Callithrix jacchus: one gene and its partners. The protein of the gene in region 1 interacts with the protein of each later gene in a biochemical or structural test. Links are inferred from orthologs where the notes say so. Each region holds a gene or a part of one and is shown in the gene's direction. Other genes may lie near its edges.

The links.
Region 2: of the proteins of CTNNB1 (region 1) and UBE2B, one has a biochemical effect on the other in vitro, tested with the Homo sapiens proteins (2 studies listed by BioGRID, with this or other methods). The link is inferred for Callithrix jacchus from reciprocal best matches to the Homo sapiens genes CTNNB1 and UBE2B.
Region 3: the proteins of CTNNB1 (region 1) and TAX1BP3 are reported together in a solved structure, tested with the Homo sapiens proteins (2 studies listed by BioGRID and IntAct, with this or other methods). The link is inferred for Callithrix jacchus from reciprocal best matches to the Homo sapiens genes CTNNB1 and TAX1BP3.
Region 4: the proteins of CTNNB1 (region 1) and MAGI3 form a complex in vitro, tested with the Homo sapiens proteins (2 studies listed by BioGRID and IntAct, with this or other methods). The link is inferred for Callithrix jacchus from reciprocal best matches to the Homo sapiens genes CTNNB1 and MAGI3.
Region 5: the proteins of CTNNB1 (region 1) and NEK2 form a complex in vitro, tested with the Homo sapiens proteins (2 studies listed by BioGRID, with this or other methods). The link is inferred for Callithrix jacchus from reciprocal best matches to the Homo sapiens genes CTNNB1 and NEK2.
Region 6: the proteins of CTNNB1 (region 1) and MAGI1 form a complex in vitro, tested with the Homo sapiens proteins (2 studies listed by BioGRID and IntAct, with this or other methods). The link is inferred for Callithrix jacchus from reciprocal best matches to the Homo sapiens genes CTNNB1 and MAGI1.
Region 7: the proteins of CTNNB1 (region 1) and ERBIN interact in a test that uses a peptide from one of them, tested with the Homo sapiens proteins (2 studies listed by BioGRID and IntAct). The link is inferred for Callithrix jacchus from reciprocal best matches to the Homo sapiens genes CTNNB1 and ERBIN.

Annotation. Positions count from the first base shown.
Region 1 is NC_133518.1:79,033,669-79,037,633, forward strand, and holds the end of CTNNB1 (catenin beta-1), read left to right. Parts: intron 1-1,123; coding exon 1,124-1,184; intron 1,185-2,171; coding exon 2,172-2,380; 3' UTR 2,381-2,392; exon of another isoform or gene 2,393-2,697; 3' UTR 2,698-3,465; downstream 3,466-3,965. UniProt on the Homo sapiens protein: Key downstream component of the canonical Wnt signaling pathway.
Region 2 is NC_133503.1:32,758,552-32,762,661, forward strand, and holds the start of UBE2B (ubiquitin-conjugating enzyme E2 B), read left to right. Parts: upstream 1-1,310; 5' UTR 1,311-1,430; coding exon 1,431-1,474; intron 1,475-3,563; coding exon 3,564-3,644; intron 3,645-4,110. UniProt on the Homo sapiens protein: E2 ubiquitin-conjugating enzyme that accepts ubiquitin from the ubiquitin-activating enzyme E1 and transfers it to a E3 ubiquitin-protein ligase. In vitro catalyzes 'Lys-11'-, as well as 'Lys-48'- and 'Lys-63'-linked polyubiquitination.
Region 3 is NC_133506.1:67,211,012-67,215,076, reverse strand, and holds the start of TAX1BP3 (tax1-binding protein 3), read left to right. Parts: upstream 1-1,265; coding exon 1,266-1,304; coding exon of another isoform or gene 1,305-1,839; intron 1,840-2,990; coding exon of another isoform or gene 2,991-3,091; intron 3,092-3,196; coding exon of another isoform or gene 3,197-3,322; exon of another isoform or gene 3,323-3,465; intron 3,466-4,065. Other genes in the region: EMC6 (ER membrane protein complex subunit 6), read right to left, coding at 297-629; uncharacterized protein LOC118153673, read right to left, coding at 1,149-1,839, 2,991-3,091, 3,197-3,322. UniProt on the Homo sapiens protein: May regulate a number of protein-protein interactions by competing for PDZ domain binding sites. Binds CTNNB1 and may thereby act as an inhibitor of the Wnt signaling pathway. Competes with LIN7A for KCNJ4 binding, and thereby promotes KCNJ4 internalization.
Region 4 is NC_133508.1:151,644,627-151,648,356, forward strand, and holds the end of MAGI3 (membrane-associated guanylate kinase, WW and PDZ domain-containing protein 3), read left to right. Parts: exon of another isoform or gene 1-208; coding exon 209-1,329; 3' UTR 1,330-3,230; downstream 3,231-3,730.
Region 5 is NC_133520.1:16,817,681-16,821,180, reverse strand, and holds part of NEK2 (serine/threonine-protein kinase Nek2), read left to right. Parts: intron 1-1,879; coding exon 1,880-2,005; intron 2,006-3,500. UniProt on the Homo sapiens protein: Protein kinase which is involved in the control of centrosome separation and bipolar spindle formation in mitotic cells and chromatin condensation in meiotic cells.
Region 6 is NC_133516.1:47,811,806-47,815,878, reverse strand, and holds the start of MAGI1 (membrane-associated guanylate kinase, WW and PDZ domain-containing protein 1), read left to right. Parts: upstream 1-1,273; 5' UTR 1,274-1,894; coding exon 1,895-2,207; intron 2,208-4,073. UniProt on the Homo sapiens protein: Plays a role in coupling actin fibers to cell junctions in endothelial cells, via its interaction with AMOTL2 and CDH5. May regulate acid-induced ASIC3 currents by modulating its expression at the cell surface.
Region 7 is NC_133503.1:143,430,334-143,434,409, reverse strand, and holds the end of ERBIN (erbin), read left to right. Parts: intron 1-44; coding exon 45-119; intron 120-1,501; coding exon 1,502-1,609; 3' UTR 1,610-3,576; downstream 3,577-4,076. UniProt on the Homo sapiens protein: Acts as an adapter for the receptor ERBB2, in epithelia. By binding the unphosphorylated 'Tyr-1248' of receptor ERBB2, it may contribute to stabilize this unphosphorylated state.

The DNA of each region.
Region 1 (3,965 bases):
GCTGTCTAGCGACTGCTCTGAGGAAGAAATGTAATAGAAGCTTTTAAAGAGCCTATTCAGAATCCTTACAGACAAACTGTGCTCTTAAAATGACAGTTCCCAAGAAAGATGAAAAATGTTACCAGATTAAAGATTGTTCAGAAGGGTGTAAGGAAAGGGACAGGGTTAAACACTGTTAGAAGTCAGTTTATCCTGTCTCTACTAAAAATACAAAAAATTAGCTGGGCATGGTGGCACGTGCCTGTAATCCCAGCTACTCAGGAGGCTGAGGCAGGAGAATTGCCTGAACCCAGGAGGTGGAGGTTGCGGTGAGCCGAGATCGCGCCATTGCACTCCAGCCTGGGTAACAAGAGCGAAACTCCGTCTCAAAAAAAAAAATCCGTTTATCAGTATCTTTTACTAAACTTTAATGAAACTTTTTACTTGAATTTCTGCTATGGATCTGTCTTCAGTATTTGTCCTCCATAGGGGTGCTGACTGAAACATTGTTTCTAATAAAACCAGAACCACCTGGAAGTTTGTTTTATCCACTCTACAGTGATCAGTGATGGTACAAGTCCTAGTCATACAGTGGATTATATTTGTTGAGTGGAGAGAGATTGTTAGGTTTAAAACGATGCAGCTCTTAAGGCCAGGAGTTTTAAGACCAGCCTGGGCAACAGAGTAAAACCCCATCTCTACAAAAAACTTAAAAATTAGTTGTGTATGGAGATGGATACCTATAGTCCTAGCCACAGTGGAGGCTGGAGCAGAAGGATCTCTTGAACCCAGGGGTTAAGAGGCTGCCCTCAGTGACAGAGCCAGACTCCAACTCAAAAAAAAAAAAAATGCAGAGCAAATTACCAGTGACTAGTGTCACTTGGGTTTTTAATACATCTTATTAACATGTTCCTATATTATATATAATATATACTTGTTGAAATATCAAGTCAGTATTTTTAATATGAGGTGCAAAGAGAAAAAATGTATCTTTGAGGGGTGGAGTTTTGAAGAACTTCATTTTCTAAGCATGTCTGTAATGTTGGAGTTACTTGTTCCTTTTACAATCTGAAAGTATGCTTCAAAAAAAATGAGAGTGTACTTTTACTTTCTATTCTTCCTTGCCTTGTGCCTGTTTATCTAGACTGCTGATCTTGGACTTGATATTGGTGCCCAGGGAGAACCCCTTGGATATCGCCAGGATGGTATGTGCCTCATATTTCTTAACTCCAGATCAAGCTAAAGTTCTAAAACCTTATCAGAAGAGCCACTTTGCTCATCTGGGAAACCAGTGTTGGCAGAAAAGTAGTGGCTTCCATTAAAAGCAGTTCCTAAATTCCACAGTCAGCAACAGTATCTCTAATGGAGCACAGGGAATGCAGAGGCACACACTGAGCATCAGTAGGGCTACACCACCACCAGAGAAACGCTGCTGCCAGGCCTCTGCCATGCAGGGTGCTGCAGTTTACCTGGTTCTTCATTCTCTTTGGCCAGAGGACTCACAGTACCTTTGTCTACAGCCTACCCAAGGCAGAAAGGCTCCGATTGGGGTTGGGGGTTACATAGTTGCATTATCAGGGTTTTCTTGAAAAGTTCATTCAAATCTGGATAATGAACATGGAGGATGGGGTAGACCACTAACAACTATAACTACCTTGGATTTATAACCTCATCTGCTTCTACCTAATTATGAAACCACTAAAGTGCAGGATTCTTGCTGTGACAAATACATGTCAAGCCTGAGGTAAAATTTGTTGAGGTTTAATTGAAATGGTGCCTTGAGCTTTTTTAGGACTTTTGTGGGAGTCACTGATAGATTACACCTGCCAGACCTCAGTATTTATTGTCTTGATCCTCTTCCCATGACTTCTCACTGCCTAGGTGGTCACACACAATTAGATCATTGCTGTTCATCTTTGGGAACCCCAAGTCTGATGGGTAAATGCAGAGTGTTCAGGGTTAGGCTGACGGTGTGACTCGGCCCTGCTGGTGTGCTGCTCGCATAGTCTCATGGGTGGCCCAGCACTGAGTCATTACTTGGCTAAAGAAAGCTATAAGTTGAAAGAGACTAGAAAGCATTGTTTTCCAACAAGTTTGCTGCTAAACTTCGGATGCCCTAACCGCAGTGTTAACGTCTGTGTCTGTTTGTCTCCTCTCTCTGGCCTGTTTTGTTGCCACTCTGCTTCTTCTAGACCCTAGCTATCGTTCTTTTCACTCTGGTGGATATGGCCAGGATGCCTTGGGTATGGACCCCATGATGGAGCATGAGATGGGTGGCCACCACCCTGGTGCTGACTATCCCGTTGATGGGCTGCCAGATCTGGGGCATGCTCAGGACCTCATGGATGGGCTGCCTCCAGGTGACAGCAATCAGCTGGCCTGGTTTGATACTGACCTGTAAATCATCCTTTAGGTAAGAAGTTTTAAAAAGCCAGTTTGGGTGAAATACTTTTACTCTACCTACAGAACTTCAGAAAGACTTGGTTGGTAGGGTGGGAGTGGTTTAGGCTATTTGTAAATCTGCCACAAAAACAGGTATATACTTTGAAAGGAGATGTCTTGGAACATTGGAATGTTCTCAGATTTCTGGTTGTTATGTGATCATGTGTGGAAGTTATTAACTTTAATGTTTTTTGCCACAGCTTTTGCAACTTAATACTCAAATGAGTAACATTTGCTGTTTTAAACATTAATAGCAGCCTTTCTCTCTTTATACAGCTGTATTGTCTGAACTTGCATTGTGATTGGCCTGTAGAGTTGCTGAGAGGGCTCGAGGGGTGGGGCTGGTATCTCAGAAAGTGCCTGACACACTAACCAAGCTGAGTTTCCTATGGGAACAATTGAAGTAAACTTTTTGTTCTGGTCCTTTTTGGTCGAGGAGTAACAATACAAATGGATTTTGGGAGTGACTCAAGAAGTGAAGAATGCACAAGAATGGATCACAAGATGGAATTTATCAAACCCTAGCCTTGCTTGTTAAATTTTTTTTTTTAAACTATATCTGTAATGGTACTGACTTTGCTTGCTTTGAAGTAGCTTTTAATTTTTTTTTGGCAGTAACTTAGTTTTTTAAGTCTCTTGTAGTGTTAAGTTATAGTGAATACTGCTACAGCAATTTCTAATTTTTAAGAATTGAGTAATGGTGTAGAACACTAATTCATAATCACTCTAATTGTAATCTGAATAAAGTGTAACATTGTGTAGCCTTTTTGTATAAAATAGACAAATAGAAAATGGTCCAATTAGTTTCCTTTTTAATATGCTTAAAATAAGCAGGTGGATCTATTTCATGTTTTTGATCAAAAACTTTATTTGGGATATGTATGGGTAGGGTAAATCAGTAAGAGGTGTTATTTGGAACCTTGTTTTGGACAGTTTACCAGTTGCCTTTTATCCCAAAGTTGTTGTAACCTGCTGTGATATGATGCTTCAAGAGAAAATGCGGTTATAAAAAATGGTTCAGAATTAAACTTTTAATTCATTCAATTGTGTCACTTTTTTTTTTTCTTGTCATTAAATGGTTTGTGACAGTGGTTACTTGATCCAACTCAGCTCCATGCTGAGGAAGATACATAGTGAAGTAATTTGTTGTAGTGATAGAGAAGGCAGGCCCTCTCTAGGTGAGATTTGCCAAGTTTCTTTAGCATTTGGCCCTGCATTACATTGCACCCCCCAAAAAAGTGTTTCCACCTTGTACACTGATTAATTCTGGGCTTTTGTGAGAGAAAGCCAGACAGTGTCTATCCCAGTCCCCTTCAGATAATATTTCATTATTACCTAAATGGAACGAAACTAACTACCTGGGTTTGGACTTCAAGCACCTTCACACGAGTGTGACTCACTGGGAGAGGGGAATTCCTTTAGCTCCACTTTGAACTAATAAATAGGTTTAAGTGTTGACATTTATCTGAACATAAACAGAACTAGAATGAGCCTTTCACGCTATCTGCCAGATGGTCCTATCATCCCAGTGGTAGGTCTGACAA
Region 2 (4,110 bases), on another chromosome or scaffold:
CCATGCCCAGCTAATTTTTGTATTTTTAGTAGAGACGGTGTTTCACCTTGTTGACCAGGATGGTCTCGATCTCTTGACCTCGTGATCCACTCGCCTCAGCCTCCCAAAGTGCTGGGACTATAGGCGTGAGCCATCGCACCGGGCCTTCAGGCTAGATTTATAACCCTCACTCATATCTACAGGAGCTCTCCCCCAGGTATAAATCATATTTGTAGGTTTCTTTGACAACCAACCACTCATTGATAAGCCTGGAAGTCTGCAACCCCACATTCCTTAAAAATATACAATGGTACAACCCCCTATAGGCAAGTCCCGGACTCTGACACATATCTTCAAATGAAAGCAGACCCAGAAAGGAAAAACTGCATAATACACCATCCTTTAATGTTTGCCCAAAATTTTCAATACTAGAAACCCCACTGCAAAGCTGAAAGACTATTTGGTAGCTTCAAGGAAGCATTGCAGGATATTGTTGTGTGGGCCTCAACATTCAATGCTGCCTTAGAAGATCGTGCAATACCCTTCTTGCCCCAATAGCAGAGTTGATAAGCCACTGAACCAACCAGAGGGGAATTATTTTTGGTCCCGGTTTAAAGAAAACAAAACGTGACTCATGCCTGTAATCCCAGCACTTTGAGAGACCCTGCCTCTACAAAATGTAAAATAAATAAATAATTTTAAAACCCTCAAAAAAAAAAACAAAACAAAACAAAACAAAACAAGCTGTTGATTCTGCCATGATCTCTTGGGTAATGATGTCTCTAACCTGTAATAAACAGGAAACAACTAATAAAGGTGTAATCTCCCTTGAACCAGCTTCATAGAGCTGGCTGAAACTCACATAGAGGCGAGGCTTTCACGTGACCCATTCTAAAGGCGTCATAGGGACACGTGGTTCTAGATACTTCTCCCCCTCCCCCTCAGGGGTGGATTGTTGACAAGGCCACGGTCAGTCACGTGATCTTACGTCATCCCACCTCCTTTCCCTGAAATCTCTGGCCCGGATGAGTCCCCCCTCTCTCCACCCCGCCGAGTCTAAACTAATGACGGGGAGGGGGACAGATAGTGTTTCGGTTCCGTGGTCTCTGAATCCACAACCTCTAGTGTAAGCACAGAGTACACAAACTTGCCGATCATTTCAGGAAGCCCAGGCTGAACCCAGCCCCGCAGAAGGGCTCGGAGAACGCGCGCTCCAGCGTCCCGCCCCCTCCTCCCCCAACGCTCTTCCGTGGTAGCGGCGGAGGGCGGAGGGATCCGGAGGGCGGAGGGATCCGGAGGCGGCGGAGGGAGACGTCATTGCAGGGTTGTTTGTCAGTCTCGGCGACGGCAGCAGCGGCAGCTACCCACAGTGATTTGGCCGCCGCGCCGGGGGGTGGGGGGGCTGCGCGGGACTCTTTTCTTTCAGACTGACCGCGGGGCAGCTGGGGAGCATGTCGACCCCGGCCCGGAGAAGGCTCATGCGGGATTTCAAGCGGTAAGGGCCTTCACGTCCGCCTAGATGACGGCCCCTCAAAGCTGCGGGGCTGCAGGGTGGGGATCCCGGACACCTTCCCCTTGTGACCCTCCGAGGGCCGGCTGTGGGCCCAGCAGAACTGGCAGAAGCCGGGTCCTAGCCTCGGCTTCCACTACCTTATCCTTGCCTCTCGTTTTGGCGGCCGAATAAATTTCGATACTCCTCCTACCCCCAAAAAGTAAAACGGTGTCGATCGACTGGCCTAGGGTTCCCTGCTGCCCTTTTCGGCCAGCTGCCCGGCGATCAGATTTCCTCCACCCGCCCCTGCACCCTGCGGCGCCCCCTTCTTGTCCTCTTAAAGTAAGCTCCTGCGGGAGTTTGTTCCTCGCCGGCTGCACCGGTCAGCTTTGTTTCACTGCCCCGCCGTCTTCTCCGAGGAGCCGGGTTGGGGCGAAACCCCCCGCACCACGCCCCGGTCCTTTCCATTTCTACCGTGAGGGTGGGGTCCAGTGCGTGAGGCCCGGAGCTTAACCCATCCCCCGAAACCCGACTCTGTCCCCGCCCGCCTGAAAGGACCTTGGGAACCGACTTAGAGATCTGGGACCTCAGAGCTGGCCACCCCGGCTGCCAGTGCCTTCTGGAACTCAGCTCTGGCTGGTGAAGAAAGCCCTATCTATAGCCTCCCGAGTCTGGAAAAATGCCTTCCCTTAGACGGGCGCTAATTTGATACTCCCTGGGCCTCCTTTGGTAAATAAATAGGGTTTTAACTGTTAGGAGGTATTGGGGTTGTGAGAAAGAGAATGATTAGTCCGTCGTTTGCCTTTAATTGGATACTTAGAGACATAGAAAAACATGTGAGAAAACAGCATTTTGATAACTCTGCACGTTTTTCTTAAAATTTTTTTTGGGGATACCTGCCCTAATTGAGACAAAATATCTGGCCTAAAAACTTAGATTTGTCGCTCAGGAAGTCGCCTCTCAACTCAGCCATTATAAAGCCTATGTGAAGCATTTGGAAGCCATCCATTGTTTTGGGCTTTGGCCAACTTATTTAATTCATTGGTAGCTTCTCTTAGCCATTTAAAGGTAGGCGTCAAGCAGTGCAGTTCTTGTGAGGCTTCTGTTCGTGGCGGCCTAATTTGCTTGAAATTGACTAAAAACCTTTTTTTTTTTTAATGTGGACTAGTTGCAAAGTGTGATGCCCCATGAAAACGACTGCATATGTATTTGTGTGTATAATGTAGCATTTTTAATTGACACTACAGTCTCTGAAAGGAGATGCCCTTTTTTGTGCAAAAGTTATCTTTCTAAAGCTTGAAATTAGTGTATTTGCTTGGCACTTGTGACTAAAATTCAAATAGCAATTTAGTTCACGTCATTGTCTCCCTGGCTCCTTACTGTAATGCTCTGCTTAATTCTGAGTTGAGTATATGACACCTTTTGAAGTTTTCCAAAGGTCTGCAGGTTATAAGAATTTGAGGAATGTTGGAAAGCCTTGTATTGAGTCTCCTGATCTGAGAGGTAGATTTGGTGTTAGTGCAGAGCCTTAAAATAGGGACTGGCAGAAAACCTACTGATTACTTTTTAAAGCCATTGCCGTTTGAAGCAAAAGGGATAAAGTAAATCTGCCTAATACTAGTTTTGTAATTAACGTGTTTTCAGTCATTAGTGTTTACACTGAGGTTTGCTTTTCTTTTTTTAGCCATTTTGCAGAAGTACCTGTGGTTAAGACACACAGTCTTTGGATGGTTAGAGCAGCAAAATCGATGGTTCTGTAAAAATATTATTTGCTTTTGAGTTTTTAAACTTTTTTTTGGTTTAAGAGGACAGTCTGTATGCATCAATTCTTGAAGAGATAATAATCTTGATAATATTGAAAAAGGGATGATTCTCAAGCCTTTTACATTTTTAGATAATTTGGAGAGGTATTTAATAAGTGTATATACCTGGTTAATATATTTAAGTCATAGGGTTCATTTTAGTTCACAGTAACAAGGAAATGGAGTTAGTCCCTGTGTCACAATAGATGGTATAGTGTCTGTAGGTGTTTATGTGGCCTCCTTAGTGGCCTTAATGTTCAACTTTTTAAATTACCACTCCGGATTTCTAGGTTACAAGAGGACCCACCTGTGGGTGTCAGTGGTGCACCATCTGAAAACAACATCATGCAGTGGAATGCAGTTATATTTGGGTGAGTTGAAAGGTTTATAATAGGTGTGTGTTGAATCTTTAAGTGAATATATAACAACTGCCTAGGAAAAGAAACTGGGGTGGATTGAGAGATCTTCAGGACTAAAACTACAAGATAAATTAGAAAAAAATTTTTTTAATTAGAATTTTAGCTCATGCCTAGGAGGATCGCTTGAACCCAGGAGTTCATCACCAGCCTGAGCAATATAATGAAACAGTGAGTCTCTCTCTCCCTGCCCCCCAAAAAAAGGAGTTTTGGCCCAGCCTGGGCAACATAGTGAGACCTCATCTCTACAAAAAGTATAAAACTAGCTGGGCATAGTGGTGCACACCTGTGGTCCCAGCTACTTGGAAGGCTGAGGCAGGAGGATCACTTGAGCCCAGGAATTTGAGTGCCATGATTATGCCACTGCACTCCAGCCTGGGCAGCAGAACCAAGACCCTTATGTTTCAAAAAAAAAAGGAAA
Region 3 (4,065 bases), on another chromosome or scaffold:
CAAGGACTTAACACAAGGCTATAGCCAGTCCGCGCTCTCCAGGAGTCAAATCTTGGCGCTTTTGCACCAATGGCAGACTATGCGTTAAGGTAAGAAAGAACTCTACAAAGTGTCTCACGCTTCATTTAATCTGAAGAATATTACAGGCTCTTCGTCTTCAGATATAAATTATTTATAACGTTACAGAACAAGCAGCGGATCGAACCATTTAAAAACTAGGTAAGTCTACACGGTGTTAACTTCTCGCCAGAGTCCTCCCAATCTGGTGGTTTAAAAAAGTCCCCCGGGCCCCCATTTCAGTAGACGTGCACCATGCCATAGAGGAACGTCCAGAACAGGACGTAGGTGAACAGGCCTCCGATGAGGCCTCCTGTAAAGAGAGGTCTTCGTGATTTGAAATATTTGTTCCACCTCCTTCCCGCCTTGAGAATGAGGAGCAGGGAGAGCAGGACGGAGGCGAGCAGGTAAAAGATGAAGCCGTAGAGGCCGGTGAGGCCGAGGATGCCGGCCGTGGCCCCCGACAGCGCTGACACCGAGGTCCGGCAGTAATCCAGGACGGCGGCGTTGCCCCGCACGGCCGCCTCGCTGATGAACGGCGGCCCTTCCCGCTTGGCCACCACCGCGGCCATCGCACCCCCCGGGGCTCAGTTTCTCGCTTTCTGGCGGGACAACGCGGAGCTGTAGAGAAAACCAAGTTACAAGTGGCGCCCAGAGCTCGGCGAGTTGGGTTCACGCCGCCGCCGCCCCCTCCCCCGGAGCTTCCAAGAGCTGGCACCAGTCCTGGGCCTCGGACCTTCAAGAGACGCCGAGAAGGTTGAGGGTCCGGGCCGGCCGGGAGGCGGTGGCGCGTCTGCGTTCTCCGGCCACGCTGACCCAGTTACCTGGAATACGGCGCCGGACACCGTACTTAGCGTTTCTTCAGGCGGGTAGGAGAAAAGACTCCCGCGACGCCATCTTGCGCTGAAGGCTGCCGGGAGGTCCCGGACTGCGCACGCGCCCAGATCCCACCCCGCCCTCCACGCCTGCGCCGTGGGCGCCCCGGGCACGCTCCACCCCCTCCCCCCCAGCCCTTTTTTTTTTGCGCACGCGCCGGAACTTCGGAAAGTGGAGTGGCGCTTCGGCCGGTGATTGGCTGGCGGGTGTGCTAACTATTCATGAGGGGGCGGGCCGAGCAGGGCGGCCTTTGTTAAGCAGCGAGGGCGCGGCCGCAGGAACTCTTCTGCCGGCTTCTGCGAGTGGGGCTGGGCGACCAGAGTGGGGTCGAGATGTCCTACATTCCGGGCCAGCCGGTCACCGCCGTGGTGGTGAGTGCGCTTGCGCGGGCTCCTCCTCGTCTTGGCCCGACCCCACCTCCCAGAGCGGGAAACTGACACCCCAAGCAGGTTGACAAAGCATCGAACCCGGGGTTCCTGCGAACCGGCGGCCAGGGCTCGAGTCCTCGCCTTGCCGGAGCCGGACACAGCTGCCCCAGCCACGGAACAGGGACGGCCGGGACCCGAGAGCCTCCCTAGACCCTGGACAGAGCCCAGACCGCGCGCGCGGGGCGGGGAGGGCCACGGAGCCTGGGAAAGCGCCCCCTTCCCGGGCCTTCGTGTCCCCAGCCGGGCAGCTGAGGGGGGGCGGGCGCGGATCCCGACGTCCATGAGTCGCAGCCTCTGGAATGAGGAAATGCTTCTTCCATTGCAGCCTGCGCCGCCGCCCGGAGGGAGATCTGGGGGTGGGGCTGTCCCGAGCCTGCTGTGGCAGCCCCTTCCCCCTTTCTGTCCAGCCTTGCTGCCCGGCCCAGGGTGGGCGCTCACACAGCTGGGATGAGCATTTCCTCTTCTTGGATCTCCAACCCTTAAGGCAAAAAAAGTCCAGGCCTTCTTTCTGGCACTTGAGACCTGAGGAGACCCTCTGGGGACTAGCCTAGGCCCCTGTCCACCCTCTGGCTTGTTTTAAGTGCTGGGTACTATTAGATTAGGCAGAGGGAGGGAGGCTGGGATATTAGACTCAGACGCCTGTGTCAAGGTGGGACGGGGCCTGGAGGCCAACCCTTTGGCAGAGGTGGGGAGACCCAGAAAAAAGTCTGTCTGATGGTGCTCGGCCAGAAAAGACGACGTCAAGAAAGACTCAGGTCTCCTGTCCACCTCCCGAGAGCGTTGAAAGGGAAGAAATGTCCGCCCGGTGGCCCGGTGGGCAATGGGTCAAGTGAAAGTCCCTGCCCTGGAGCCGTGGGGGCCTGCTGTGTACTCTCAGATGGGTGTGTCCAGCAGTCAGGTGGGTGGAGGCAGAGAAGTCACTGATAAAGGTGGCACTCAGGCCCAGGCCCGGAGGAAGCATTGCCAGACCAGCTGACAGCTGTCCTAAGCTTCCCCTTCCCTGCAGCCCCACACCAGCCTGGAGCTTTTTTTTTTTTTTTTTTTAACACGGAGTCTCATTCTGTCAGCCAGGCTGGAGCACAGTGGCATGATCTTGGTTCACTGCAGCCTCAGCCTCCCTAGTAGTTGGGATTACAGGCACGCACCACCATGCCTGGCAAATTTTTGTATTTTTAGTAGAGATGACCCTATGTTGGCCAGGATGGTCTCAAACTCCTGACCTCAAGTGATCTGCCCACCTCGGCCTCCCAAAGTGCTAGGATTACGGGCTTGAGCCACCTCGCCCACCCAGCCTGGCTTTTCTAGGTTCCTAGCTGCCCCAGAGAGAAGGTACCAGGTTTGCTCTTTAGCTAGAAGTGGGGCAGGGGCAGGTGAGGAGCCAAGCAAGCCACCTTCTATGTGACCTCCCGCAGCAAATCAGTGACAGCCCTGTCCCCCAACCCAAAGGCCTGTATCCTTCTGACCACGTGGAGCAGGCCTGGAGAAGCTGTTCTGGGCATGAGGACACAGGCCCAGTGGGCCTCAGGGATTATGCTGCCTGTCCCCCTCCCTCATGCCGTGATTGGTCTCACAGCCTTCCCCAAAACTATAGGCCCATGCCCCCCAATTCTAGTAACACCAGGAACATGCCTGACGTGGTGTGTGTGGCCTGGCCTCTCCCTTGAGTCTTGGATTGGGGGTGGGGTTGGACAGGCTGACTCCCCAGTCTCCACTGTCTCCCATGTAGAATTCTGAGAATATTAAAGCCACTTAGGACTCTTCCCCTGAACTCTGGCTCCATAGATCCATCTGCCTTCTGGACACCTGCCCCACAGCTCCTGGTACTCCAACTCGACCTGCTCCTCCTCCTTCTGGGTCTCCATCTGGGTGATGTGTTCAGCCAGGCGAGGTGTCTGGATGCTCCTTTGGACTCCTCCTCTGCATGAGTGCTCCCCAAGGCTGTAGATCTCCATTTTCGGCATCCTGCTTTTGTGAGATGTCCGTTCCTCTACTGACCACGAGTAGTCATTCTAGCAGCAGAGCTGACCATGCCCTGCCCTACTCAATTCCTGAGAACTCCAGTGGGTTGAGGATCAAGGTCAGGCTACTCCTCACCCCCTCAGGCTACAAAGAACCCCCTCTTTGGGAAAGCTCTTTAGGTCTAGTCTAGTTCATCATCTTTTTTTCTTTTCCCCTTCCTGTTAAAACTCTCAACTTTTGGAGTGATCTGGTTTGGCTCCTAGCATCTGCCAACTGGAGGGTGCTTGCCAAGGGCTTTGAAAGGAATCTGGCACAGTTGGGGACCACAGCCCCAGAGCATGGTGGGAGTGTCCTAGAACACTCTGCACTGCACGAGAGCAGGGCCCAGGGCTTAGGGAGATGCCCCTACTCCCCTTCCAGGACAGGATGTGGCCCCAGCCATATACTTGCAGCCTCATCTCGACGCCTAGTTCTGTGTCCCGTGCTGTACACTCGTCTCACCAACACGAATCCACAGCACCTTGAAGCCTGTGCTCTCATCCCTGTGGCCGGCAAACCCTTTCTCCCCTTTCTATGCAAGTTTGGTCTCTGCTTTTCCAGAGCACCTCCTGGGAGATGGGCCTCCCACCCACAGAAGCCGTAGCACCCTGACCCTTGGGCCAGGAGGGGCTTAGAGCATATGTTGACCAAGACTAGGGCCTGAGACTCACAGGAGAAGTGGTAACAGGCTGCGGCCAGAGGGCTG
Region 4 (3,730 bases), on another chromosome or scaffold:
CTATATAAATAACCTATCCTTCATGTATGAACAGATGTCTAAATACATCTGCCTTTATAGAAATATGTTATAAACATATACAGGCTGTATAAAATACTCATAAGCTTTTTAAGCAGTCAGTACAATTCAGATGGCTGTCAGAGTTCAAAATGTATTGTGCCTATTTCTAATTCTAAAATTTAATGTTCCATTCAAATCACTTTTTTAGGTGATTGGGAAATTAATAATCCTTTATCTTCAAATGTGATTTATGATGAACAGTCACCATTACCCCCATCTTCACACTCTGCTTCCATATTTGAAGAGTCTCACATGCCAGTAACTGAAGAATCTTTAATGAGAGTTCAGATATGTGAAAAGGCAGAAGAATTAAAGGACATTGTGCCTGAAAAGAAAAGCACTTTACATGAAAATCAGCCCGAGGTAAAGCATCAGTCTCTTCTCCAGAAAAATGTGAGTAAGAGGGATCCACCCAGCAGTCATGGGCACAGTAACAAGAAAAATCTATTAGAAGTAGAAAATGGTGTTACCAGAAGAGGTAGATCAGTTAGTCCCAAAAAGCCAGCCAATCAGCATTCAGAGGAACATTTGGATAAGATTCCTAGTCCTCTAAAAAATGACCTCAAAAGAAGACCCAGAGATCGATCCCTCAGCCCCAGCAAGGGGGAAAATAAAAGTTGTCAGGTCAGCACCAGGGCAAGGTCTGGACAAGATCAGTGCAGAAAAAGCAGAGGTCGGTCTGCCAGCCCGAAGAAGCAGCAAAAAATTGAAGGAAGCAAAGATCCAGCAAATGCTAAGGCCAAATTATTAGAGGGTAAGAGTCGAAGAATAGCAGGCCGTGCAGGCGATAATGCTGAGGAGATCCCAGATGGGAAGGAAAAGTCAGGCGTCATCAGGAAAGATGCAAAGCAGAATCAGCTGGAAAAAAGTAGAACAAGGTCTCCAGAGAAAAAAAGCAAAAGAATGGTTGAGAAGTCTCTTCAATCCAGAAAGACTAGTAACACTACAAGTAAAGTAGTATCTGAAAATGAAAAAGGAAAGAAAGTAACCACAGGAGAAACAAGTTCTAGTAATGATAAAATAGGAGAAAATGTCCAGATAGCAGAAAAGAGGCTGAAGCAAGAACCTGCAGAGAAGATAGTTTCAAACAGAATAGAAGATCACAAAGGGAGAGAACTAGAGGCAGCTGACAGAAGCAAAGAGACTGGAAGATTCAAACCTGAAAGTAGTTCTCCAGTTAAGAAAACACCGATAACTCCGGGGCCCTGGAAGGTGCCGAGTGGAAATAAAGTCGCAGGCACTACTGGTGTGGCTGAGAAACGGCAGTAACCTTTAGTATAAAACAAAGAAACACAAGTTGTAATCTTTTCTTACAGCAGCATTTTTCCAGAAAAAAAAAAAAAAAAAAGCCTTTTTCTTTTCAGATATTCTGAAACAGATAAGTACATGTTAATGTGAGCATCAAGTTACCTAGGCTGCATGAAGGGCCTTAGGATTGCTAAGAACCAACTGTCCCCCTGGCTGGCTGTCCTGCCTTGCACTCAGGAAGGAGCTGCATCCACATGCTCATCTGATCCGCCCTGCTCAGGCTGCCCAGCTCGTCTTAATGAGTGTCTGAACAAATGTTGATATTAACAGTGTGGTCACAACTCACTTTGTATTTGTGCCAAGTTATCTACTGTATCATGTCTGTTTTTATCCTCGTTCAGCTATTTCCACAGTAAAGAACAAGTTAGGTTTGGCTTGGAAGTTGATGTCCTCAATAGCATGTTGCATGTTTACAGAGAGAAATATTTGAGTCCTTGCAGAGGAAGAGACTGTCAACTCACCATTAAAGATGGCACTTGTCTCTTCCAACAGCTACTGATGATGTCCCAGTTTAAAAATAAACCCCCCAAACATCACTAACTTCACAGGAAAAAAAATGTAGTCCAATACTGATGCTTTCTTATGGCTTTATTTTAATTTGGCTGGATAAGTTGTTTCAAGTAAGTGTTAAAGATAGTACTTACAACTGAATGTTTGAAATGAGAAAGTACTTAAAGCAATAGAGTCCATCTCCTGCTGTGTTATCCAACATTGATGTACAGTTACGGCATCTCAGGTCACCCTTTTTATTTGTTATTTCATTATGAAACCATAAAGAAGCATGTGGAAAATAGTGTTTATTGCTCTTTGAAGAAAAACCACCAACTATTTCTGGATATTTTGGCTTTACCTACTACTAAAGTCATTAGTCTTTAATACATAATGCATATTTGAAAAGGAAACATATACATCATGTGAGGGACTTAACCACGAAACCAGTTTCACAGTCCAGGTACCAACTCTTCTGGTAGCAGGTGTACAAGCTTGGGTGTTTAGAGCAACCTATGTAAGGTATTACCCAGCAAGTAAGGACAAAAGTGTAGACAGTACTTACTGGATCTTATTTAACTTTTAGCTACATTAACTTTCTTACTTAAAAACAAGAAAGGGAGACTAAACATCTGCTTAGCTTGTACACATTTTCAGAATTCTTTTAAAAAGTCTAGTTAAACGTGTTTCTTAGAAGTTGGAGACTGTTAACTTCCGTAAAATAGATCAGGTTTTTCAGTTCCCTGAAGCAGCATTCAGTAGCATCTATAAATAAAGGCACCTTCTGAAAATAAAAAACTCTCTTATGGAGTGTGTGAACACACTTGTTCTGTCACCCTGGGTTCATCTTGTTGTGAAGCACATTATGTCCAGGTCCTTCCCTCTGGGAGTCTGACTGTGAAACTCTTTAACCCAACAACTGTATTAGCCCCTGTAGATAAGACATGCTTCCCAGAGTGAGATTTTTGAAATCCCTTTTCATCCAGAACTGTATTTACACACCTATTGTAACTATTCAAATAAAGCAAAATTATTAGGAGGCTTGATAAATACTAAGAATTTAGTACCACAGAAATTATTTATTTTCCCTATAGTCCACAGATAGTGATAACAAATCCTATTTTTGTTAACGGTGACATAACTTTGATGTCCTATGTTGTCCTATGTGGCTCTTCCTTTCTAAGTAACCTCTGTACTGACTATATACTGACTTAGCAATGTGGCCTTGGAATGCTGAGCAAAATATGGATGTACTGGTTGTAAATGTTTATATATTGTACAGTACCTTTATATATACACTTGAGGTTCTGATTAGAGAAAGATCTGTAAATTGCTCGTTATTTTTTATATAGATATTAAAAAAAAAAAGCAGTTCATGGCCTGCATTTCTTTTTTACCATCAGATTGGTTTAATGTTGCTTTCTGATAGTGGAGCTAGATCCATCACAGACTGAGCCCTCAAATAGATTTTCTCTCTCCAAGTTACAAACATTCAGAGTCCTAAAAATCAGGAAGACGTTTATAGCTATACTTGTATTTACACATAGAGTTTGAAATTGTTTAGAGTTGAATATCATTATACCCATTTTTCATCTTTCATTGTAAAGAAAATAGCTTTGGATAGATAATTTGCTACTAAAAAAAATCCTTTCTTAACACTATTGGGGAGAGAAAAAAGTTTCTTACTGGAAATTCAGCTACTAGACATTTATAATGGATATAGTAACATAAGCCCAGTTACCACAAGGTCACAAAATTCCATTTCATTAGACTAACAATTCACATTATTTTTAAAGGTCATTTAGTTTTATACTTCTTAGAATGAAGTGTTTTTATTTAACTCTATATGAAAAATACCTAAAACCTACTTCAA
Region 5 (3,500 bases), on another chromosome or scaffold:
GCAAAGCGGAACTATCAAGTGGGTTATTTTGATGTGTCTGAATATCTCTTTGAGCAGAATATTTTATACATACAGATCGTATTAGAAATGTAATGAATACTTGAGAAACCAAAATGTGCATTGTAGACTTTTAATAGTCAAGCTTGCTGGCACTTGCATGTTGGACGTCTTTCTCTGGGATCAGTTGCTACATATATATTATTGGGCCTTAACTGTGATGGCCCTAACATGCTAGCCTTATACTTTACCGCAAAGTTACTTTTTAATTTTTTGTCTCTACCATAAACACCCTAAGGTTTTCCCCCTATAAAAGAAGGTCTTAGAATTTGCTGCCTTCTATACTAAAAACCATGACTTTTGTCTTCTGAAATGGCCACTCCAGCAGAATTTCAGGTCTAAAATCCTACAGTATATAGATGAGATATGTTCAGGCAATTTAATTTTTTTAAACTATATTTGAAAATGAAATAGGGTCTCACTATATTGCCCAGGCTGGTCTTGAACTCCTAACTAAGCTCAAGCGATCCTCTCACCTCATCTCCCAAAGTGCTGGGATTACATGTGTGAGCCACAACACCTGGTCTGTTCAGGCAATTCAATAGAGAATCTAGGTACAAGATATTTCAAGTCTATAAATAATACTCTGGTGGGTATTAATGTTGACTTAATGGGTATTAACTGATTAGGTGCTAATTTAGTTTTGATGTTGAAAGTGTGTCTATTCCACCAAGATGAGAGCTGGTGGAATAGCAGGTATTTAGGGTTGTGTAAGGTAGCTACAGCAGTGAGGCTCTTCATTTTAACATTAGGAGACGAGAGATGGGGATCTGTTACCTGTCGCCCACATGACTCACCTGATTTCACTTCTGCAGCTTTATGCCCAATGCAGACTTTACGTAATGAACTATTGTATAGTCCTATGAGATATGCTTACTGTATAGGTACAACCTTTGCTTACTTGGAAACCTCTGTAAAAAGTAAGAAAACTTTTTCTTATAACTTTCCCCAGTGTTTCATAATTTCTTTCTTTCTTTCTTTCTTTTTTTTTTGAGACAGACTTTCACTCTTGTTGCTCAGGCTGGAGTGCAATGGCACCATCTTGGCTCACTGCAGCCTCCACCACCCGGGTTCAAGCAGTTCTCCTGCCCCAGCCTCCTGAGTAGCTTGGGCTTACAACGGCCACCACCACGCCCAGCTAATTTTTATATTTTTAGTAGAGACAAGGTTTTGCCATGTTGACCAGGCTGGTCTTGAACTCCTGGCCTCAGGTGATCCACCTGCCTCAGCCTCCCAAAGTACTGGGATTACAGGCATGAGCCACCATGCCCAGCCATAATTTTGTACAGCAAAATTTTGTGTTCGTGAGAGACTGAAATCTGAATGCTTTCTGAATTTGGGGTCACGAATAAATAGTAGCCTTTGTTATTAATACTAATCTTACAAACTACCGCCTAACTGAATTTTTTTTTCCTTTTATTTGGATGTGGTCATTTAACCAGAGGAAGGAAATGTTGTACTGTGAGGCCAGATCATGCCCTAACATATTGCCTATCTTCAGTGAAGAGCAGAGATGGCTTTAGTTTTTTGTTTTCCCAAATGAGTTACTCCCACAAAAGATGACCAAAGGTTGAAGCTAACTTTGTATTTGTTTAAAAAGTCCTTTGAAGAAAATCTAAAATAACATACAGCCTACTAAAATGCTCAGTTAAAAACTAGCACAATCAGGTTGACTGAGGCTTAGTTAGAATCCTTTCCCGAAACATTGCTTATCAGTATCAGGCACACGAGTCTTAGTGATAAGATAGCCAAATGTAAATTGTTTTATAGTCAAGGTCACTTGTTAATTTTTTTCTTTCTTTGTCCATTCTTTTTTTTAAAGAGAAGGAACAGGAGCTTTGTGTTCGTGAGAGACTAGCAGAGGACAAACTGGCTAGAGCAGAAAATCTGCTGAAGAATTACAGCTTGCTAAAGGAAGAGAAGTTCCTGTTTCTGACAAGTAGTCCAGGTATGAGAAGCAACTCGGTAAACAGAAACTGGTGCTTCAAATGAAGACATGTGCACCAGTGTTGCTCCCAAAGTGGCTTAGGTAGCCCTTTTCATTTACAAAGTCTCGCATTTTAAGACGGATTTCATTGAACATATGCATTTCAATGGAAGCAAAATTCTGTTATAGCAATGATTTACTGGGTTCACAGACCTGAGGCAATGAGTCATATAATTTCATGTTTGATTTTCTTTACCTTACCAAACTACATGTTTAGCATTTGATACTTATTTTTAACAATTAGGGGATTTATAAAACTATTGTGTTTCAGATTTTAGAGACATAAACCGCATTTCAAATATAGATCAACATTTTAATACTGGCATGCTTCATCTTTCTTAGAAATCATGGCTTAAAAGGCATGATAAGCCACCTCCAGGATAGGCTGTCACTTTTGAATCTTTGCTAACACCCTTTCAAGTTGAAACATATTTGTCAAAATTTGATTGTTTAATGTCTACATATGTTCTCTGCATTTTCTTCTGATATTCAGCTTTCTCCGGGCCCTGCCTTTGTGTGGCGTTGTCCCTTCACTGCCGCACCGAGATGTGGTTATCGTATAGACCAGTGAACCATGGTCTAACATTCTTTCTCCATTCCATAGAAACCCTCCCTCTAATTTAATCGATTCTATGTAAAATGCAAATTGTGAAACATTGTTTTGCTTGATTTCTTTATGACACAAAGTAACTACTGAAAGTTTGTGGTTTCAAAAGCTAAGCATCTGATTTTCAATATAATTTAGAGTTTTTATAACTACCTTATTCCATGTAGGACAGCATATATGAAAACTATTATTTCCATCTTTAATAAATTGAGATGTAATGTGATCAATTTAGTGAGCATTGGCAGCATTGTGTAAATGGAACAGACAAAAAAACCCTGCTTAAGTTAGATTGATGATCACAATAACATTGTAGTGATTACGTGATGGAAAGAAATGAAACCATTGATAGAAGTAGATGAAACAAGGGTTATAGGAAACTTTGGCTTCATCTCTGTTCAGGTATCTTCTTTTGTTCTCAATATTGCCATCTACCATTTCAACATTATAAAATTATTTAGGCTTTTCATATATTTCACACTGTAATCCATAAAGACAAAATAGACTTAAATAATGATTAGGGTGATAAAATGAGGATAAAATTTTACCTGGGTAAATTTCATGCATCAAATCCATTGCAGAGAATTACTTAAGACCCTATTGGGATGCACTTCAGTTAAAGAGTTTATTTACATTTTGCCCCGATAGTCTTTGAGCAAAGAATGAGCATAGCTAAGTAAGGATGATGTGTTTTACTTTATAGGATACACAGGTAAGTATGGGAATCTACTTATATGTGAATCATGGCAAATAGGAGCCATAGGAATCGAATATCCACTAGGGCAAGGAGACATTTTAGAGTATTGAGTGCTGAAAGTAGTGAATACATCAGAGCTATAAGGTAAACATCAT
Region 6 (4,073 bases), on another chromosome or scaffold:
ACTTCCAATCACCCCGTGAGTTCTTGTTCTACTCATTTGATCAGTGAGAAATGGAGACGCGGAGGTCACCGAGCTTGCTCAAGGTCACACAAGGGTAGATCCCTGAGCCTACCTCTCAGCCTCGACCGCCGTGGCATTCCACCCTTTCTCCATCGCTTCAACATACCACCCTCATTTCTTGGAATCTCTCCTGTGACCAAAGATGAACAAAAGTTATACATCACTAAAGAGGAAAAGAAACTGCTGGGGAGACTACTGCGCAGGCCATTTGAGTATTTGGGAAGGTCAGCCTTCCTGGGGGGCGGGATCCTTTCTGTCCGCCACCTGCCGGGGACAGAAGTCACTTTACCCGTACTCTACCCCCGGGCTGCGAATTCCGAGAGGTGGCCGCCGCGCCCACGCCCCCGCGGGCCAGGACGCTGGGGCACATGCATGCCCGGCGGGGATCCTTATCTCCTGGCCGCGGATGCACTGCCAGAAACTTGAGGCCGGGGCGATGCCTGGCTCCAGCAGTCTCTGCTGGAAAGACAGTTGAAAAGCTAGAGGGATCTCTTTATTGGTTGAAGACCTTAACCCACAATAGCCCCATGGGGTCTCTCTCTCTCTCCTGTAGTTTCTCGTGTCCTAAAAAGTTGGTCCCAAAGTTTAAGGATGCGGGTGTGTGCGATTGTGCGTGTGACCAGCACAGGGATCTCAGTTCGGGGACCGGGGAATCCCACTGTCCCCCTTCCCAGAGTTGCAGAGACCTTGGCAGACTCCGTGCCAGGACCCGAACCCGCGAGCGCAGGGCAGGCGGGGATTCGGCTCGCGCCCTGGGGCGGGTCTCAGGGGTTTCAGTGGGACCTGCGGCTGGGGACGGCGGACCAGCCGGGCTGGGTGACCGACAGCCTGGCCAGCCACTGGCCAAGGGCGGTTAGGAGGCTTAGGGCCGGCGCGAGTGCGTGCGCGTGTGCGTGAGTGTGAGCGCCTGGGTGAGTGTGGCAGCCTCCCCAACCCCCACCTGTTTGAAATGGTTTTCAAATGCCAAAGCCAGATTGCTCGGTTTCAAAAGTTGCTAACAGTTGGAGTAAAACACGTGTGCGGCCCCCCTGGCGCAAAGGAATCCGCGGAGTACACGGCACTGAGAGAAAAGGAGAAGGGAGGAGAGGGGTTCAGGAAAAGTGAGGGGGAGTTGGCTTCTCCTGGCCGGAAGGTTTTAGGACCCATCGGGAAGCACGTTGGAATCTCTCCCTCAGAGGAGGAGGGGAGGGGTGGGCCGGCCGCTAGCGGCCGCGGGGCGCATGCGCGCGCGTCTCCTGTCGCCGGCCGCTGCGCTCCGCGGCGCGGAATAGAATGAACTGTAACAAAACAAGCCGAGCCTTTGTATCTGCTTAAAGGGGCCGCGGGCACTTACCTCCCGCCCCGCTCCCCCCGGCCCCGCCACCGCGTCTCCACGGCTCCCGGCAACTGGCTGGAAGGGCTTCCTTCACCCTCAGGAACAGCACGCCTACGAGGACAGAAGAGCCCGGCGGGAGTCAGAGAGGAGGCACCGCATTTGTAAAAGGCAAGAGAGAAAGGAAGGAAGGAAAAAAAATAACCCGAGCGGCGCAGAGTGGACTCTGGTCCGGGAGAGCACGGGCGGGCGCTGGAACGTGGACCCAGAGGCACCGGAATGCAAACAAAGCTCGCGGGCGCCGGTGCGGGGCTCGCGGGGAAGCCCAGAAAGTTTGTTTTATGATGGCTTGAGTGCGCGAGCGTGTGCAGGGGAGCGAGGCTGCCAAGTTTCTCTCTCCTGTTTTGTGATTTGGGGAGAGATGTTTCTCCCATGAACCAGTGGAGGCTTGGGGGCTTGTGCTGTGGGGGGCACCTGTCTCTCGTTTAATTTTATTTTTTTGGAGGAGGGGTGTAACTCATCATGTCCAAAGTGATTCAGAAGAAGAACCACTGGACTAGCAGGGTTCACGAATGCACCGTGAAGCGGGGACCCCAGGGCGAACTGGGGGTGACGGTGCTGGGAGGCGCGGAGCATGGGGAGTTTCCGTACGTCGGAGCGGTGGCGGCTGCCGAGGCGGCGGGGCTTCCCGGCGGCGGCGAGGGCCCGAGGCTGGGCGAAGGGGAGCTGCTTCTGGAGGTGCAGGGGGTCCGGGTGTCCGGCTTGCCCCGCTATGACGTGCTGGGGGTCATCGACAGCTGCAAGGAGGCCGTCACCTTCAAAGCCGTCAGACAAGGTAAGGCGGGGCGCGCCTTTGGGGGGCGCCCGTAGGAAAGGACGGCTGTCTGTGGGCTGCCCCTCATCCTCGATTTCCCGCTTTCCTCCTCAGAGCGCAGCGAAGAGAAGTTGAGGCCGTGCGCCCTGTGATGGCGGTGAAATACACAAAGTTGTAGCGAGGTTGTGGGTTGTTTGCCCACCTGCGTTTGGAAGAGGGGGCTGGGTTTGCGCTAGGTGGGGGCGGGGGAGGGGGGTTGGGGTGGGAGGGGGCGGACGTTTTGCAGGCCTGGCTGGCCAACCTGTTATCTCCGCCACCAAGTGCAGCGCAGTCTCGCCTGCATCCGAGGGTGAGTCGGGGAACTGAGTCAGAGGCACAGTGGACGCTGTCCTGGCTCCTCTGGGGAGGGATGCAGTTGGCGTTCTTTGGCCACGAGTCAGTTTCCGTACCTGGTGAGTGGGTATACAGAAAGAGAGGGTCTGCAGTTTATTGGACCTCCCCCATCAGAAAATCTGCTTCACCCCGCGACCCCTCCAGGTGAGCTAGGACACAACTGCCTGGTGATTCCTGAGCCCGCCGCCAGAAGAGCCTGCATTCACCCCTCAGCGGGATGACGCAAGTGTCTCCACCGTGTGGCCTAGCCTTAGGCATGGGACGGGGGAGGGGGTGTTTGCTTTGAGCTCGAATCGGGTCCAAGTTTACCCTGCCACCGCCACCACCATCGTTATTATCGATGATGATAATGAAGCTACTATTCATTGTTGATTTACTACATGCCCGGCTCCGTGTAAAATACTTTACTTGCACTATCTCACTCCGATTCACAACAGTTCTAAGACCCAGTGGTTCTTATATACCCCATTTAGAGATAAGGAAACTGGGATTGACATTGGTTAAGGGACTTGAGTAAGGTCACACAGTTGCCAAAAGCAAGGGGTTGAACCCTTGTTGCAGAGCCTTAAGTATGGAGAAGGAAGGAGTCGGGGAATGACCCTACAGGACTGGAGAGGCTGATTCTGAAGGAGGGAATGGAGGCAAATTCCTCTCTCAGAAATCTGTAGAGGAGGGGTGGCCTTTTAAAAGATGCATTTGGTGGTTGCTGGTGATGGTAGGTCCCTTACATCTCACCTTGGTACAGATAAGGGGCTGTCCTCATATCAACCCAGTGGAGAACAACTGAAGTCTTAAAGGGGTCCCTTGTGCAACCAAGTGCCATGACGCAGATTCTCCCCAGGGAAAGCACCAAAGGAAGTGGTGAAATTGAATGGGATGAAAAGTTCCCATTTGTTTCCATAAGGACAGGCAGTAGCTGGAGGCATGTGTCAAAGGAAGGGCTGGGCAAAGGCAAGCTGGTCCTCTCTTGGAAACAGACATGTTCCAGATGAAATTGAATAGGGGGCAGGGGGACTAGACTGGCCTTTTAGCAGCTTTGGGAGCTGAGGAGCTGACACTAAGCTATGGAAAGCTCCTTGCATTTATGACTTCATTCTCCACCTGGATACCTCCTCCAAGAAGCCCTCCAGTATCCTGCTAGGATGAACAAATTCCTCCTCCTTTGGGTCCCTTTAATGTCTACCTTGTGGTTTTTTACTTACTCTGAACTATGAGTTAGGTCCTCATTTCCATACAAGGTAGTGAGCACATTAAAGGGAGAGATTGTGCCTCATTCCAGGCATATCTCTCCAGGCTTTGCATGAGGTTCAAAACGTTGCCTAGCCTAACAATGCGTCTTCCTCACACTGACTTTCTTGTGGGTATTACATAAGCTAACACGTGGAAAGTTCACCCAGCAGTGCCTGTACATAGTGAGTGCTCCATAAAGATTAGCTATTTATGTTTGAATGGATTTTGAGCAGCTATTTATTTCTGAAACTAGTTTTTAGTATC
Region 7 (4,076 bases), on another chromosome or scaffold:
CATACTGTTTTTAGTTAAATAATTACTAATTTTTGTTATTAAAGGGTATATTTGTAACAAGGGTACAACCTGAAGGACCAGCATCAAAATTACTGCAGCCAGGTGATAAAATTATTCAGGTAATTAAAATAAATATATTTTTTAAATTTTATAACACTGTTGTTTTCAGAGTTTAAAATGTATTCACTTTAAAAATTGTGGTTAAAAGTGTGATACATCATAGGATTTTGTTTAAGTTCAGGAATGCTAAGTTTTACTAATTCGAGGGGGATTAGAGTACCACTTCTTGGATGTGGGCTGTTGTCCTTTCAGAAATGGAGAAGAAAAATTTTAAATCTGAGAAACTCTTCTTATTTTTCTCTGTCCCCTCCTTTTCTTTGTTCTTTCAGCTACTCATTTTACCTAAACACTTGTAGTCTTAGGAGGAAGACTACATGGTTATAAAAACTATCAATTGTTCATATTTTAAAATCCCAACTCCTTTGAAGCCTTTAAACAGATTAAGTAAACGAAGAGTTGTTAGCACAAAACCACCAGTGGATCTTTTAGATATCTTATGAAACAAGCCAGTAAAGCCTAGGACACAAGTGTAGCTCTCATTTTCTGCTCTTACTGTCACTGTTCTTAGTTGAGAGCTAAAAAATAACCCCAAACAAAACAAAACAAAAAAACCAGACAGACATTCAAGTCTAGTAGCTGCAGATTCTGAAAGCCAGACTGAGTTTGAATTCTCGTTCCAACACTTTTTTTTTAATAAAATTAATTTTAAAATTTTTTCTTAAATAATTTAAATCTTAGAGAAAAGCCACAATAATTTGCTACATTGTCTTTAGCATTTATTCTCTTTCTTCTCTTCTCCCTCCCTGTCTCTACACACACGCACACACACACACACTCATACAGTTATGCACATTTATTTTTGTGAACCATTTGGGAATCTGTGGTTTCAGTTTTGTAACTGAACAAGTTACTTTCTCTCTCCATGCCTGGGCTTTCTCTTCTCTAAAATAAGATAGCTAAAAAGAATCTTTTTTGAGCGTTATGAGAATCAAAGGATCTAATTCATGTTACACACTTAGAATTGTGTTTGATACACAGTAGAGCCTCAGTAAATATTAACCTGAATTGTGAGAAATATGGTGGACTTGATGTGATGGCTCAAGACAATGGGAAGACTAGGCCTTGCCCTCTGCTACACCACAGTTTGGTCACCTCAGATGCACATTAACGTTATGTAACACCATGTCTGACATTATTTCTTACATAAGTGATTCCTAACTTTGGGCTGCTACATAAGAATTCTCTGAAAAATTGGACAAAATACACATTTCTAGTCTTCAGAGACTATTCCTTGGTTTGGGTAGGGCCTGTGAATCTGTATGTTATTTTAAGTTGTCAAAGTGATTCTTATTTTATTCCAGGTTTGTGAATTACTTGGCAGAAATGCAAATAAATTACTAGAAAATGTTTTTCCTAAAAGCATTTTTCCTCTTTCTTCTAGGCTAATGGCTACAGTTTTATAAATATTGAACATGGACAAGCAGTGTCCTTGCTAAAAACTTTCCAGAATACAGTTGAACTCATCATTGTACGAGAAGTTTCCTCATAAGCACTGTGGACAAAAAAAAGGGGGGGGAAGACAGCAAGATTTATTGGAAGATACTTGCAGGGGAAATTAATATTTTGACTATTTTTATATATAAAGAACTCAAAAAATTATGTTCAAATTTGTACATTAATGAAGTAATGGAACTTGTGGTTAGAGGGAAAGAACCACTGTACAGAATATAAAGAAGACTGTTGAATTCATACCATATAAAACTTGTTAGGTTTTTAAACATAGCAATCAAGGTTACAAAAACAAACCTGTGTTGTTTTTGTATAGATTGTAGGTTTATTTTTGGATTTCATACATGACTGAACTGTGTACAAGGCAATAGTTAGCCTTGATTTTAGCCCAGAGACAGATGGCAGAGCTATCTATCTCATAGCTTTTATGCCCTTATTTTTATTCAACTGGTATTAATGTTTTTCTCCTGAAACTACTTTTTTTGATGTGGGCAAGATATTTGAAGTGTTGGCTTTTGCTATGTGCATATTGAATTGAAGAGTGAGTAGGTGAAGTTGGTGCTGGTGGGTTCACTTTCCAAGGCCAGATTAAAACAGTTATTTTCTATAAAAATCTGGAAGCAAAGAATGGGGACGGGGGGAGCTATGTGGTAGTATGTTTTTATTAAGAGAACAATGCAATAAAATATGTAATGTCTTTTTTAAAAAGCAAAAAAGACAATAATTGCATTTAATGAGCTCTACAGGATCTGTTGTTGTCATAGCCATTGACTGTACATTTGTTACTGGTGATACAGTTTTTAATTTTTTAGTCACAGGAAAATTTTAACTCTACTGTAGATGCATGTCCATGCATTTTCTGTGTTATGGAAATCCCGATTTTTTTTTTTTTTGCAAATGGTGGTACTCACAATCTGTTTTATAATTAGTGCTCCATTTAAATCTAATTTATAATTTTTATTTTAAGCAGCAAATGAAACAAAAATGGCCAGTTTTAAGACTGTGTTGCCTGTAACACAAAATGTAAGAAAGTTTAGTAGGAAAGCCTCTTTTTTATGTTTGGCCTTGCATCGCCTTGGTAAAGTAAAAAAGGAAACAGTACGCATGGAGCTAGGAAACCAAAGTGAAGTTTGTGAAACTGGCACAGTGATAGAGAATTGCTGTGGAGAGTTGTAGAGCAAAGGGATGGGTCCTTTGAGGCCTACCAGTGTGTAAAGGTGTTCAAATAAAGGGCTGTTTCTACAGGTAACATTAAATGTGAACTCAATACTTCAGAGTCTTTAAAGGGTTTCTACTTGTATCAGTGTAATAGTGTTTTACCACCAACTGCCTTTGTTCCTAGTTACTGTAACAAATATTTGATGATAATACAGGTTTATTAATTTTGTTATCCAGGCCATTAATTTTATTTGTTTTTGTTTTGTGTAATCAAATAAAATGAGTAACATGCAGTGGTAAGGATTAATGCATGGTTATTTGGACCAGAAAAAAGTGCCATAGAAGACCAATAACTGTAGTTGAGGCTAGTCTGGAACCTTTCATCAGAGCAATATTTGGTTATTGCACTTCATTTTATTTACTAAAATGCAATTTGGGAATTTTTAATCTGTTATGCTTTATCAACCTTGATTTTAATTAAGACTTTTATAAGACTAGCTTAAAATACCAACCCATATTATTTTTGCAAAAGCGAGTTGGACTCATGTTCCATTCTTGCTAGTCAGAGTGAATAGGCAGCACTTTTAAAAATATGTGAACTCAAATATTGCACTTCTTTCAAGATGTTATCAATTGGTTATTGTACTGTATAGTTTTAATAATTTTGATTGAAACCCTTTAACAACTCTTTGTAAATTTTAACTCTTTTAGTTATTTTCAGTACTATTTACATAGGAATTGATTTTTATGGATATAGTAGAAGAAATGTGCTGTATTTTGATAAAATTCACTTATTGTATGTGTGTTGTAATCTCTAAAAAAAAAAGAATGACACCTTCTTTAAGACAAGTCTCGGTGTTCCCTTTATTCTTTGTTTTTAAATATTAATTTTTGCATTCTAAAATATTTAACATTCCTTTTACTGATTTCAGATTTTCACAGTCATATTCTACTTTTAATCAGAAATACATTTAATAAGTATAATTGTGAAGTTTTCAACTACTTTACCTTGAACACATACATAGATTATAATTTTGGAAAAGGAATTAAGCCTGTCAGAACAATGAATCTTCAGTTCCATTAACCTTAACTTCATTGTCTGCACATTACATTGAAGTATTCTAAGTGCAACAGGTGTTATATCACTGGTATTTTGTCCTACTATAGTTAATTAAAATTTTATAATATTCTTGCAACACAAAGTTGAATTAAGAAACTTTACCAAGAGAAGTAGTATAGCCAAGTTTTCTTCGAAAATATTGGAAAATTAAAATTAAATGATAGGACTTTTAATTAGAAGTTTGTTTTAATAAGTTTCAAAATTTGAATAAAAGAATAAGTTTTTTGAG